2 linked regions of the Anolis sagrei genome follow. The protein of the gene in region 2 purifies or fractionates together with the protein of the main gene of each other region. This does not show direct contact. Links are inferred from orthologs where the notes say so. Each region holds a gene or a part of one and is shown on either strand. Other genes may lie near its edges.

Region 1 (7,722 bases), on a different chromosome or scaffold from region 2:
AAGGTTTAGGGTTTGGGTTAGGGTAAGTTTTGGGTAAGGTTTAGGGTAAGGATTTGGGTAAGGGCTTAGGCTTACGGTACGGTTCAGGGTTAGGATATAGGTTTCACCATTAAAGAACTCTTACATTCCTTCTATATTATCTGTCTCCAGCCTGGCTTACATTAGCTAAGTCTCTCTTGCGCAAACAGCACTCTCGAAGGAGTGATGCGGCAAATCTGTAACACTCGGAGCTTCCGGATCCAGCTATCATACTATTTCCCAGAACCGTATCAGACAAGTATGCTGAGCCGGAACTGTTAGCATTGTAACAGTTCCTATCACTGTTTACTTTTTCAGTTGTCATTAGCAACTTATAATTACAGTCCAGCAAGCAGGTTTAGTCATTGCAGGACTTAGTCTTTTAGAATTGGTGCCTCCAAAATTTTTGGCTCCACTCATTCATTCTTCCATTCAACTCCATTCAGCTGCCATTAGCAACTTATAATTACAGTCCAGCAAGCAGGTTTAGTCATTACAGGCCTTGATCTTTATTTATTTATTTATTTATTTATTTACAGCTTTAATATTCCGCTTTTCTCACCCCGCAGGGGACTCAGGGCGGATTACAGTGTACACATATATGGCAAACATTCAATGCCAATTTTTGACATAGAAACATATACAGACATACACAGAGGCTATTTAACTTTTTCTGGCTGCCAGGAGAGCTGTCCCTTTCATCGTCCATCTGCGACGCTGATGAAGTACTTCCGCATTCCCCGCATGCTTTCCCGCTGGAATGTTTTTCCTGTAGTCTTCTTTATGGCCTCATAAATCAGTTAATTTAGCCTCCCCACACTTTAAGGTGGTACCGAATTTTCCTACTTGACAGATGCAACTGTCTTTCGGGTTGCAAAGGTCGACAACAGGCTACACAATTGGTTGGAAACCCACTCCAACCCGGTCTGGCTTCGAACTCATGACCTTTTGGTCAGAGTGATCTTAATGCAGCTGACACTCAGCCAGCTGCGCCACAATCCCAGTGGTCTTTTAGAATTGGTGTCTACAAAATTTTGGTTCCACTCATTCATTCTTCCATTCAACTCCATTCAGCTGCCATTAGCAACTTATAATGACAGTCCAGCAAGCGGGTTTAGTCATTGCAGGCCTTATTTATTATTATTATTATTATTAACTTTATTTGTACTCCGCTAGCATCTCCCGAAGGATGAGTGAAGAGAATGCCTTGGTCTTTTAGCATTGGTGTCTCCAAAATGTTTGGCTCCACTCATTCATTCTTCCATTCATTCCCACATATCAAATCCACATTCTTCCATTCAACTCCATTCAGCTGCCATTAGCAACTTATAATTACAGTCCAGCAAGTGGGTTTGGTCATTGCAGGCCTTGGTCTTTTAGCATTGGTGTCTCCAAAATTATTAGCTCCACTCATTCATTCTTCCATTTATTCCCACATATAAAATCCACATTCTTCCATTCAACTCCATTCAGCTGCCATTAGCAACTTATAATTACAGTCCAGCAAGTGGGTTTGGTCATTGCAGGCCTTGGTCTTTTAGCATTGGTGTCTCCAAAATTATTAGCTCCACTCATTCATTCTTCCATTCATTCCCACATATCAAATCCACATTCTTCCATTCAACTCCATTCAGCTGCCATTAGCAACTTATAATTACAGTCCAGCAAGTGGGTTTGGTCATTGCAGGCCTTGGTCTTTTAGCATTGGTGTCTCCAAAATTATTAGCTCCACTCATTCATTCTTCCATTTATTCCCACATATAAAATCCACATTCTTCCATTCAACTCCATTCAGCTGCCATTAGCAACTTATAATTACAGTCCAGCAAGTGGGTTTGGTCATTGCAGGCCTTGGTCTTTTAGCATTGGTGTCTCCAAAATTATTAGCTCCACTCATTCATTCTTCCATTTATTCCCACATATCAAATCCACATTCTTCCATTCAACTCCATTCAGCTGCCATTAGCAACTTATAATTACAGTCCAGCAAGTGGGTTTGGTCATTGCAGGCCTTGGTCTTTTAGCATTGGTGTCTCCAAAATTATTAGCTCCACTCATTCATTCTTCCATTTATTCCCACATATCAAATCCACATTCTTCCATTCAACTCCATTCAGCTGCCATTAGCAACTTATAATTACAGTCCAGCAAGTGGGTTTGGTCATTGCAGGCCTTGGTCTTTTAGCATTGGTGTCTCCAAAATTATTAGCTCCACTCATTCATTCTTCCATTTATTCCCACATATAAAATCCACATTCTTCCATTCAACTCCATTCAGCTGCCATTAGCAACTTATAATTACAGTCCAGCAAGTGGGTTTGGTCATTGCAGGCCTTGGTCTTTTAGCATTGGTGTCTCCAAAATTATTAGCTCCACTCATTCATTCTTCCATTTATTCCCACATATAAAATCCACATTCTTCCATTCAACTGCCATTAGCAACTTATAATGACAGTCCAGCAAGCAGGTTTATTCATTGCAGGCCTTGGTCTTTTAGCATTTGTATCTCCAAAATTATTAGCTCCACTCATTCATTCTTCCATTCATTCCCACATATCAAATCCACATTTATCCAATCTACATATTAAATTTTCCTAACATCTCTCTCTCTCTCTCTCTCTCTCTCTCTCTCTCTCTCTGCTGGAGCTCAGAAGGGTTCAAGGCAGCGTCCCTCTGGCTGAGCATACCTAGAGCGCACAGGCTCGGGGAGAGAGGCCTCCCTTCCCCTCAGGGCCTCCCTGGCCTCCCTCCTCACTCTCTCGCTCGCTTCTCCCGGGCCTTACCTCGTCCGGGCCAGGCTCTGGCGGCGGGGCGCAGGCGGCCGAGGTGGAGGGCTCCTCCTCTCCCTCCTCGGGGCCGGCGGAGGAGGCCTGGAGCTCGTCCTCGGCCTTGGCCTCGGCGGTGACACTGACAGCCGCCTCCATTTTGTTTCTGGCGAGGAGGGAGGCGGGCGAAGGGTTCCCCCTGGAAACCCGCCCCCCTCGCTTTGGTTCCCCGCTTGTTTCCCCTCCCCGCCCCCTTTATCCGGAAGTTATCGCGAGAACGCAGCCCCGAGAATATGCCTTCAGTAGGCGCGCGCGCGCTGCATGAAAGAACGTCCCCTCATTGGTAGTTCCATGGAAAGGGGCGGGGAAAATAACATATTGCCTGAAGCCCCGCCTCCTTTAAGGGGGCGTGCCCTGGTTATGGTTGCCAAGGTGACAGCTAGAAGTACTAGAAATACCCTAGAAGTACAACACCAACACTCAAGGTGAATGCCTACCAAATGATTCCAGTATTTTCTGTTTGTTATGAGAGTCCTGTGTGCCAAGTCTGATTCAATTCCATCCTTGGTGGAGTTCAGAATGCTCTTTGATTGTAGGTGAACTATAAATCCCAGCCACTTCAACTCCCAATTGTCAATGTCTATTTCCCTTGTCAATGTCTATTTAACTTGTGTGCAGAACACATCATGAGAGGATGTGCGGGGCTTGAAGAATGCAAAGCTGGGGTGAAAATTGCTGGAAGAAACATGAACAACCTCAGATATGCAGATGACACCACTCTGATGGCCGAAAGCGAGGAGGAGCTGAGGAGCCTTCTAATCAAGGTGAAAGAAGAAAGCGCAAAAAGTAAACATAAAAGAAACCAAGATTATGGCAACAAGAATGATTGACAACTGGGAAATAGAGGGAGAAACCGTGGAGGCCGTGACAGACTTTGTATTTCTAGGGGCAAAGATTACTGCAGATGCAGACTGTGGCCAGGAAATCAGAAGACGCTTCCTTCTTGGGAGGAGAGCAATGTCCAATCTCGATAAAATAGTAAAGAGGAGAGACATCACACTAGCAACAAAGATCCGCCTAGTCAAAGCCATGGTATTCCCTGTAGTCACCTACGGATGTGAGAGCTGGACCTTAGGGAAGGCTGAGCGAAGGAAGATCGATGCTTTTGAGCTGTGGTGTTGGAGGAAAGTTCTGAGAGTGCCTTGGACTGCGAGAAGATCCAACCAGTCCATCCTCCAGGAAATAAAGCCCGGTTGCTCACTTGAGGGAAGGATAGTAGAGGCAAAGGTGAAGTACTTTGGCCACATCATGAGGAGACAGCAAAGCCTAGAGAAGACAATTATGTTGGGGAAAGTGGAAGGTAAAAGGAAGAGGGGCCGACCAAGGGCAAGATGGATGGATGGCATCCTTGAAGTGACTGGACTGACCTTGAAGGAGCTGGGGATGGTGACGGCCGACAGGGAGCTCTGGCGTGGGCTGGTCCATGAGGTCACGAAGAGTCGGAGACGACTGAACGAACGAACAACATTTCCCTCAAACTCCATCTGTGTTCATCTTTGGGCATATGGAATATTCGTGCCAAGTTTGGTCCAGATCCATCATTGTTTGAGGCCACAGTGCTCTCGGGGTATAGGTGAACTACAAGTCCCAAACTCAAGATCAATGCCCACCAAAGCTTTCGAGTATTTCCGGTATTTCTAGTATTTTCTGTTGGTCATGGGAGTTCTGTGTGCCAAGTTTGGTTCAATTCCTTGATTGGTGGAGTTTAGAATGCTCTTTGATTGTAGGTGAACTATAAATCTCAGCAACTACAACTTTTTTTGAGTGATGGTCACGCCTTGGGTTAGTAGGTGTCTTGTGGCCAAATTTGGTGGCAATTCATCCAGTGGTTTTTGAGGTCTTTTAATCCCACAAACAAACATTACATTTTTATTTATATAGGCTAACCGTCCCCTGCCATGCGTTGCTGCGGCCCAGTATGTGTATATGTGTTTTGTGTGTATATATATGTGTATATATGTGTGTTTGTGTTTGTGTGTGTGTATATTTGTGTATTTGTGTTTATATGTGTATATGTGCGTGCTTGGGTATATGCATATATGTGCGTATATATGTGTGTATGTATGTGTATATGTATATGCGTGTACGTGTATATGTATGTGTGTATATGTGTATATTTGTGTGTGCTTGCATATATATGTGTGTGTGCATGTATATATGTCTATATGGGTAAGTGTATATGTAGGTGTGTATATGTCTACATTTGTGTGCATTTGCATATATATGTGTGTGTGTGTGTATTTATGTGTGCTTGTGTATATGTGTATGAATGTATGTGTATATGTATATATGGTTTATGGGGGGGGGCGGTTAAAGTCCATTCTGCTAGGTTTTGTGTGTGTGTGTGTTTTATGAGTGATGGTCACTCGTTGGTCTGATAGGTGTATTGTGTCCAAATTTGGTGTCAATCGTGGTTTTTCAGTTATGTTAATCCCACAAACGAACATTACATTTTTATTTATATAGATTTATTAGCTTGGGGACCCAGCAATGCCCGGGTTATTTGAGAAAGGCCTTTGAGAAAGAACTCACAACCTCTGAGGATGCCTGCCATAGATGCAGGTGAAACATCAGGAGAGAATGCTTCTGGAATATGGCCATACAGCCTGAAAAACCTACAACAACTCTGAGAAAGGCATTGTTTGTCTGTGCTCTAAGATAAGTCTGTTAGAAATTGTGGGAACTGAAGTCCAAAACACACAAAGGGCTGAAGTTTGCCCATGCCTGAGTTACATACACCCAAGTCTGAACTTCAAAGGCACTGTCCAAGGTACTGAACCTCCTTGGCAATAGGCTTCATCAAAGAAACACACTGAAGGGCATTTTTCTGTGACAATAATATGGAAGCCAATAGAGGCTTTAAATTTAATAAGCATCATATCAAATACAGTTAATAATTTGCAATTACCTTATCCCAGCAACTATCTACCACCTGTAGGAGCCTAATAAAATAAAAGGAAACGCCCAAAGAAATGAGAAAAATAAATGGGAAAGTCACAGGGAGGAAGAAGAATCATAGATGTATGTATTTTATATGTGGCATCGAATTGTGCCGATTGTTCATCACCCTGAGTTGCCTTTGGGCTGATATGGGCGGCGTAAAAATAATATAAATAATAATAATACATCAATAAAAAGCAAAAACATTGCAAAACATTTAAAAACCATAAAAGCAATGAATAATAAAAATTATAATAAAAATTATAATAAACATTGGCCTTGCAGCTTCAAAGCCTGTCTGCTTCCTGCCTGGGGGAATCCTTTGTTGGGAGGTGTTAGCTGGCCCAGATTGTTTCTCCTTCCGTCCTTGATTCATGTTTGGGCAATGCTGCGTTTGGTGGCCTTTATGTAGAATTGCTAATCAGTGCCAATCAAGCTGGCCAATTGCAACATTCACACTTGCCTCCAACAGACGAGAGTTTTTTCTCCCACCCTGGACATTATTCCACATTTATATAAACCCTACTTGCCTAGTTTCCAATAGACTACATGTATTATTATTATTACCCATGTATATAAACCTCACTTGCCTAGTTTCCAACAGACCACATGTATTATTATTATTATTATTATTATTATTATTATTATTATTACCCATGTATATAAACCTCACTTGCCTAGTTTCCAACAGACCACATGTATTATTATTATTATTATTATTATTATTACCCATGTATATAAACCTCACTTGTCTAGTTGCCAACAGACCACATATATTATTATTATTATTACCCATGTATATAAACCTCACTTGCCTAGTTTCCAACAGACCACATATATTATTATTATTATTATTATTATTATTATTATTATTATTATTACCACCCATGTATATAAACCTCACTTGCCTAGTTTCCAACAGACCACATGTATTATTATTATTATTATTATTATTATTACCCATGTATATAAACCTCACTTGTCTAGTTGCCAACAGACCACATATATTATTATTATTATTACCCATGTATATAAACCTCACTTGCCTAGTTTCCAACAGACCACATATATTATTATTATTATTATTATTATTATTATTATTATTACCACCCATGTATATAAACCTCACTTGCCTAGTTTCCAACAGACCACATGTATTATTATTATTATTATTATTATTATTATTATTATTACCCATGTATATAAACCTCACTTGTCTAGTTGCCAACAGACCACATATATTATTATTATTATTACCCATGTATATAAACCTCACTTGCCTAGTTTCCAACAGACCACATATATTATTATTATTATTACCCATGTATATAAACCTCACTTGCCTAGTTTCCAACAGACCACATATATTATTATTATTATTATTATTATTACCACCCATGTATATAAACCTCACTTGCCTAGTTTCCAACAGACCACATGTATTATTATTATTATTATTATTACCACCCATGTATATAAACCTCACTTGCCTAGTTTCCAACAGACCACATGTATTATTATTATTATTATTATTATTACCCATGTATATAAACTTCACTTGCCTAGTTTCCAACAGACCACATGTATTATTATTATTATTATTATTATTATTATTATTATTATTACCTATGTATATAAACCTCACTTTCCTAGTTTCCAACAGACCACATATATTATTATTATTATTATTATTATTATTATTATTATTATTACCCATGTATATAAACCTCACTTGTCTAGTTGCCAACAGACCACATATATTATTATTATTATTACCCATGTATATAAACCTCACTTGCCTAGTTTCCAACAGACCACATATATTATTATTATTATTATTACCCATGTATATAAACCTCACTTGCCTAGTTTCCAACAGACCACATATATTATTATTATTATTATTATTACCACCCATGTATATAAACCTCACTTGCCT
Region 2 (7,243 bases):
GGCCCCTCGGCTGTGGAACGCTCTTCCTACAGACATCAGATCGGCCCCCTCCCTGTTGGCATTTCGGAGGAAAGTGAAGACCTGGATGTTCGAACAGGCATTCAATCAAGCAGTATAATTGAGTATAATTGACTATTGGAACACGGAATAATGGATAATGAAATTGGATTCCGATTTTATTGATGAGATGTGATGGATTTGTTATATTGATGTATTGGTGTCTAATTAATTGCTATGCTACTGTTTTCAAATGTCCAATGATTTCCTATTGTGTATACTGAATTATTGTATACACAATAGTCGCCTTAGGGTTGAGAAGAGTAAATAAAGTAAATAAATAAATAATATTATAAATATAATAATAGAATTAATATATAACATTATAAATATAATATAAATATGACAGATTAAATATATTATTAGTATATTATTGTTAATATAACATAGCCTATTCACTGTGTTAGGAGGGGCCGGTGCGTGGCATGGGGTCCTGACCCCCCTCTCTCCCCCCCTCCCCCCCTTTTTCGGCAGGGACGGTCCGAACAAGATCTACGCCCTGTACGAGCAGGTCAGCTACAACTGCTTCATCGCGGCCGGCCTCTACGTCATCCTGGGGGGCTTCTCCTTCTGCCAGGTCCGGCTCAACAAGCGCAAGGAGTACATGGTCCGCTAGCTGTGCGCCGTCCCCCCTCCCCTCTATTGTGCCCCTCCCCCCCGGGCCATGTATTCATTTATTTTTGGGGGAGGGGCTCTCCTTAGTGTTTCTCCCTGACCACGACACCCCCAGACTCTACAACTAGGATCTGGCCGGGGACACGTAATTTATTTCTGTTTGTACTGAACGAATGTTTGAGTGACGGCTGGGTGCAGATTCGGGACCCCCAGAAACATTCCTTGCCCTTCTGCCGCCTCTCTGAGACCCCCACCCACCCACCCCATCCCCTCCCCCTTCCTCTGGTCAGTTTTGCCGGCCGAAGGACACCTTGGCCAAACGGCGCAGGGAGCGGCATGTTTCCTTCTTCTGGCTGAAACCGACGGAACCCGGACTGTGATGTTGTGTAAATACTGTTGCCAAGAATGGCGGACACACGCGGCCACTTCTTCCATGCGCGGCCTCTCCCTCCCGTCGGCACGCTGTGTGTTTTGGGTCCTTCTCCATGTTTACTGTCAACGTTTCCTGTGTAAACTCTGCCGTTCTGGCTGGCTGGGAAGGAAGGGCAACGCGCCCTATATTTGGGGAGCGGGCCGGATTGTTGCCCCGGCTCTTGGTCTGGTCAGTTGTCCAGTAAGAGGGGGCTTGGCGCTCCCCAAGGCGATGGACGCCCCCCGCTCCCTCCGTGTGCAATAATAATAATAAGAATAATAATAAAGGGGGTTTGACCTTCAGGCCTCGTGCGTGCTTTCCCTTCTGCTTCCTGGAAAGGGAGGGGGGGGACTTCTCCATTTGCTGACCGCTCACCCTCCTCAAGGCCGTGACTCACTTGTCTGCCTCTGCTTTTCCTAGTTGGGAGGAGGGGAGACCCAGGAAACGGCCCCCAAGTCCATGGGACACCCCCACTTCCTGGACAACCAAGCCCCTCCCTCCTCAAACTGCCACCCCGAGATCTGGGCCTGACAGGCAACCGTCACGTTCTCGGGGAATGTATTTCTGTTGCACCAAACGGGAGGGGCCACAGGAGACGGGGCTTTAGGCCTCTGATGGGACAAGGCAGGACACAGGCCAGGCATGGAAGGCTGTTGGGAATTGTGGGAGTTGAAATCCAAAACACCCGAAGGGCCGAAGTTTGTCACTGCTTGACATATACATATTTACTTACTTAGGTCACTTACTTACTTACTTAGGCGATTCCCTCATTGGCCGAGTAGGATAGTCTTCCAGGATCAGTTTTCTGGTGGATCTGTAATTTACTGTGGAGCCCTCTTCTTGACCCGCATATTTTCCCACAGTGAGGGCATTGGTTTCCAGACGGAAGGCGGTCTCGGTCAGGGTTGGCTTCACGCACCTTCCTCTTGGCACTTTTCTCTTTCACCCTCCACTCGTGCCTCTTCAAATTCTGCAGCACTGCTGGTCACAGCTGACCTCCAGCGGACCTGATGGCATCCCAGCTGAAATCTTTAAAGAGGGACGACCTGAGCTGACACAACAACTCCACCAGCTCAGAGAAAAAGTGTGGGTGACCGAGAAAATCCCAGCAGATTTCAAGGATGCCACCATCATCACCCTCTTCCAAAAGGGGGAAAGACCAGACATATACATATATACACATGCACATATACGTACATAGGTAAGGTAAAGGTAGTCCCCTGACATGAAGTCCAGTCGTGTCCGACTCTGGGACTTGGTGCTCATCTCCATTTCTAAGCCGAAGAGCCAGCGTTGTCCATAGACACCTCCAAGGTCATGTGGCCACAGGCATGACTGCATGGAGCGCCGTTACCTTCCCGCCGGAGCGGTACCTATTGATCTACTCACATTTGCATGTTTTCGAACTGCTAGGTTGGCAGAAGCTAGGGCTGACAGCGGAAGCTCACGCCGCTCCCCTGAATTGAACCTGCGACCTTTTGATCAACAAGCTCAGCAGCTCAGTTCTTTAAGCTACTGCACCACCGGGGGCTCCCAATATGTACATACAAAGGTATAAATACACCTTTACATATAGAATAGAGTCTTGCTTATCCAACCTTTGCTTCTCCGACCTTCCATCTTATCCGACACTCTGATCCCACTGCCAGGCCCTCTTGGTAGTATTCTCCGTGTCTGGTGCCAAGTTGCACGGGTCACAGTCCGGGAGGAGACTCCTTATCATCCAACATTTCTGTTCATCCAATGTTCTGCTGGCCCGTTTATGTCAGATAATTGAGACTCTACTGTATATGCAAACATGCACATACACTCTATGGAGTCCTGTTCTTGACCCGCCTGTTCTTCCACCGTGAGAACACTGGTTTCTACGCTCATCAGCTGGAACCAAACATCTGAAAAATATGTTTGCATGTATATGTATATGATGCCTGGCTCCACCACAGAGACACATGCGAGAAAGATCTGGGAGTCTTCATGGGGAACCAGCTGAGTATGAGCCAGGAGTGTCATGCAGCCGCTCAAAAAGCCAGTGGGATTCTGGGATTCAGTGTCCAGACTGTGGGAAGAGGTCCCGGTGCCTCTCTATTCCGCTTTGGTCAGGCCTCTTCCCCTGTGTCCAGGGGGATATTGACTCTAAGACGGAAGGTGTCCAGAGGAAGAGGGGGACTCAAAGGTCTGGAGACCATGACTCATCCCTCTGAGGAGCGTCTTAAAGAGCGGGGCCTGTTTAGCCACAGCAGTGAAGGCGGAGAGGAGACATGGTGGCCATGTATGAATATGTGAGGGGCTGCCTGAAGGAAGAAGGAGCCGGGTTGTTTTCTGCCGCCCTTGAAAGTAGGACTCAGCGGAGCCATGAGCCGAAATGGCAGGAAAGGAGATTCCAATGAACACGAGGAAGGACTCCCTGACCATAAGGAGAGCAGTGGAAGCTCTTTCCTTGGAGGCTTTTAAACAGTCTGGATGGCCATCTTTCAGGGATGCTTTGATGGTGCTTTCCCTGCATGGCGTGGGCTCGGACTGGGTGGCCTTTGGGGGTCCCTTCCAACTCTAGGATACTATGGTTGCATTATTATTATTATTATTACTTCATATACAATCAAATATAATTAATCACAATAATATGATTGGCATTGTTAACAATTTCATTATATTGGAAATAATTATAAATTAGGTTAGGACTTCAGTATTATTTATATTTAGTTATATATATAAACACCTGGAGGCCGAAGTTTGCTCATGCTTGCAAACTCATCATAATATAATATTTTTTTATTATTATTCTACGTATGATATTTATAATGCTCGGCTGCGGGGGATTGTGGGAGTTGTAGTCCAAGGCGCCTGTCGGGAAGGCGGGGCCAGAGCAGGGAGAAGGAAGGCAGGAAGCAAGGAAGGAAGGGAGCGCGCCCTCTGGAGGCGCTGCGGCGTCGAGGCAGGAAGGGCTCCTCGGCGGGGCGGCTGTGCCCTGCTCCCATTGGCCGGGCGGCCTGTCACGTGACTCCTCCCTCCCTCCCACCGCGGGCCGAGCTGGGCGCCATCCAGCCAGCGAGCGAGGCGGAAGTTGGCGGGCGCGCGCCGGAAGGAAGAGAGGGAGGAGGAGGGCCTTGTTGCCATGGCGGCGGGAGCGGGAGCGCGGCCATAGAGCGGTGGAGGCACCCGCGGGCGAAGGGCCGCCATGACCTCGGCCTCCACCAAGGTACAGCGGAGGGGGGCTGCTGGGAGACGTAGTCCTCCTGGGGGCGTGGCTTGTCCCTCTCCCTCATTCTCTCTCTCTCTCTCTCCCTCTCAGGTGGGGGAGATCTTCTCCGCGGCGGGGGCCGCCTTCTCCAAGCTGGGCGAGCTGGCCATGCAGCTCCACCCGGTCGCAGACTCCTCCCCCGCCGGGTGAGCAGGGCAGGGGGCGGGGCCTGGCGGGGAGTGGGGGCGGGGCTTCCCCTGGCCACGCCCCTTCTCATCCCCTGACCCCTCCCCCCCAAATAGGGCCAAGTGGACGGAGGCGGAGGTCTCCCTCCTGCGGGCCTCCGTCCAGCGCTTCGGCGACGACCTCCACCGCATCAGCGCCCTCATCAAGGAACGCACCGTGTAAGGGAGGGCGGGGCCTCGGCGAGGGCGGGGACACACCTCCTCGGGGGGCGGGGCTTCCCTGGATCAGCTCTTCTCCTGAGTGCCTCTGGGGGCGGGGCTTCCGTGGGCAGGATCAACTTTGGGGGCGGGGCTTGCGTGCTTGAGTTCTGCCACGGAGGGGCGGAGCTTCTCTTGGGGGCGGGCCTTTCTCGAAGTGGGGCGGGGCTTCCTTGGTAGAGCCCTTCCCGGTGGGCGGGACTGCCAGGTCCAGCTTGGCCTCTGTGGGGCGTGGCTTCCGTGGGCGGGGTCTATCTTGGGGGCGGGGCTTCCTTAGTTGAGTTCTTCCCTGGAGGGCGGAGCCTCCTTGGCTCAGCTCTTCTATGGGGCGGGGCTTCTCCTGAGTACCTCTGTGGGGGCGTGGCTTCCGTGGGCAGAGTCAATCCTGGGGGCGGGGCTTCCCTGGCTGAGCTCTTCTATGGGGCGGGGCTTCTCCTGAGTTCTTCCCTTGGTGGGCGGGGCTTCCGAGGCCACTGCGGAGAGTGGCTTCTCTTCTGGGCGGGGCTTCTCTCGAGTGCCTCTGGGGGCGGGGCTTCCGTGGGCAGTCAATCTTAGGGGCGGGGCTTACTTGGTTGAGTTCTTCCCTCGGTGGGCGGGGTTTCCGAGGCCTCTGCGGGGAGTGGCTTCTCTTCTGGGCGGGGCCTCCTTGCCTCTGTGGGCGTGGCTTTCGTGGTTGAGTTCTTCCTCTTAGGCGGGGCTTCATCTGCCTCGGAGGGGCGGGGCTTGCCTTGGGGGCGGGGCTTTCTCGAAGTGGGGCGGGGCTTCCTTGTTAGAGCTCTTCCCAGTGGGCGGGACTGCCAGGTCCAGCTTCGCCTCTTTGGGGCATGGCTTCAGTGGGCGGGGTCTATCTTGTATATGTCGCCTCTTTGGGGCGGGGCTTCCGTGGTTGAGTTCTTCCCAGTGGGCAGGGCTTATGGTGAGGGGGCGGGGCTTTGTCGGCCTCGGAGGGGCGGGTCTTTCTCTCAAGTGGGGCGGGGCTTCCGTGGTTGAGTTGCTCCCAAGGGGCGGGGCCTATGATGAGGGGCGGGGCTTCATTTGCCTGGGAGGGCGGAGCTCTTCCCGGTGGGCGGGGCCTGCCTTGGGGGCGGGGCTTCCAGGTCCCCTAACCCTTTCCCAACATCCCTTCCAGGCTGGGATGTTGACACTCACCCCCCCCCCCCATGAGCTGACCCCTCCCCAATGTCTCCCCCTTTTCTTTCCCCCCTTCCTCCCCCCTCCCTCCTGCTGTCAATCAATTCCGTTTGCAGGGCGCAGCTGAAGGGGGCGGCCAAGCGCAAGGCCTACGAGGAGAGCGGCCTCCCAGCGGAGTCGCCCAAGAAGGGGCCCCGCAAGCAGTCGGGGGCCGGGCAGGGCCCTCCACAGCCGCAGCACCAGGGGGCCCCCTCCACCTCCTCCTCCTCCTCGGGGCCGACCCCCGAGCCCCCCGCCAAGAAGCACAAGGCCTGCGGTGAGAAGAGAGGGAAAACAATGCAGGCCTGGGCCAACTTCGGCCCTCCCTCCGAGTGTTTTGGACTCCAACTCCCAGCATTCCCAACAGCCTCAGGCCCCTTCCTTTTCCCCCTCAGCCGCTTAAGCGGCTGAGGGGGAAAAGGAAGGGGCCTGAGGCTGTTGGGAATGCTGGGAGTTGGAGTCCAAAACACTCGGAGGGACGGAGGGAGGGCCAAAGTTGGCCCATGCCTAGTACAATAATATAATATATAAGTAGGACTCCCCCCCCCCTTTTCACCCTAGACATGACCCCCTTTTTCTCCCCCCAGACGTGACCCTGAGCGCCCTGAACGACTCGGACGCCCACAGCGACCTGGTGGACATCGAGGGCCTGGGAGACCCCCCTCCAGCCAAGAAGCTCACCTTCGACCAGGGTCAGTGTGGGGGGTCAAGGGGGGGCACATGGGAGGGGAGGGGGCGTGACCCCCTTTGGACCCCTGGGACGCCCCACGACCCCCCCTCTCTCTCTTTCTTCCAGACAGCCTGACCCTGGACTCCGCCTTCCTCTTGGCCCCCAGTGGAGGAGGGGGCGGCAGGGTGAAGGCGGACCCCCTCCCCCGCTGAAGGAGGACCCCCTCCCCCACACTCTTCTGGGAGGGGTATACAGGTCAAGTGGGGAGGGGTCTTTCCCCCCTCCCCATGGCCAGAATTTGGGTCTGGGGTCCCCCTTTGAAGTGGGAGGGGCGCCATATACATGTCAATTGGGGAGGGGTCTCTCCCCCCTCCCCATGGCCGGGATTTAGCCCTGGGGTCCCCCTTTGAAGTGGGAGGAGCGCCATATATATGTCAAGTGGGGAGGGGTCTTTCCCCCCCTTCCCATAGCCGGGATTTGGGCCTGGGGTCCCCCTTTGAAGTGGGAGGGGCGCCATATACATTTCAAGTGGGGAGGGGTCTTTCCCCCTCTTCCTATGGCTAGGATTTGGGTCTGGGGTCCCCCTTTGTAGTAGGAGGGGTGCCATATATATGTCAAGTGGGGAGGGGTCTTCCCCCCTCCCCATGGCTGGGATTTGGGCCTGGGGTCCCCCTTTGTAGTGGGAGGGGCGCCATGCC

What was found. The genes of interacting proteins can lie anywhere in the genome.
Region 1: the proteins of C6H17orf49 (region 2) and SMARCA1 purify together in Homo sapiens (affinity purification with mass spectrometry; 4 studies listed by BioGRID and IntAct, with this or other methods). This does not show direct contact. The link is inferred for Anolis sagrei from reciprocal best matches to the Homo sapiens genes BACC1 and SMARCA1.

What each region holds. Positions count from the first base shown.
Region 1 is NC_090030.1:17,307,223-17,314,944, forward strand, and holds the start of SMARCA1 (probable global transcription activator SNF2L1), read right to left. Parts: upstream 3,042-7,722; 5' UTR 2,943-3,041; coding exon 2,802-2,942; intron 1-2,801.
Region 2 is NC_090026.1:294,274-301,516, forward strand, and holds C6H17orf49 (chromatin complexes subunit BAP18), read left to right. Parts: upstream 1-4,170; 5' UTR 4,171-4,259; coding exon 4,260-4,280; intron 4,281-4,373; coding exon 4,374-4,468; intron 4,469-4,564; coding exon 4,565-4,666; intron 4,667-5,952; coding exon 5,953-6,152; intron 6,153-6,462; coding exon 6,463-6,567; intron 6,568-6,671; coding exon 6,672-6,757; downstream 6,758-7,243. Other genes in the region: RNASEK (ribonuclease kappa), read left to right, coding at 532-673. UniProt on the Homo sapiens protein: Component of chromatin complexes such as the MLL1/MLL and NURF complexes.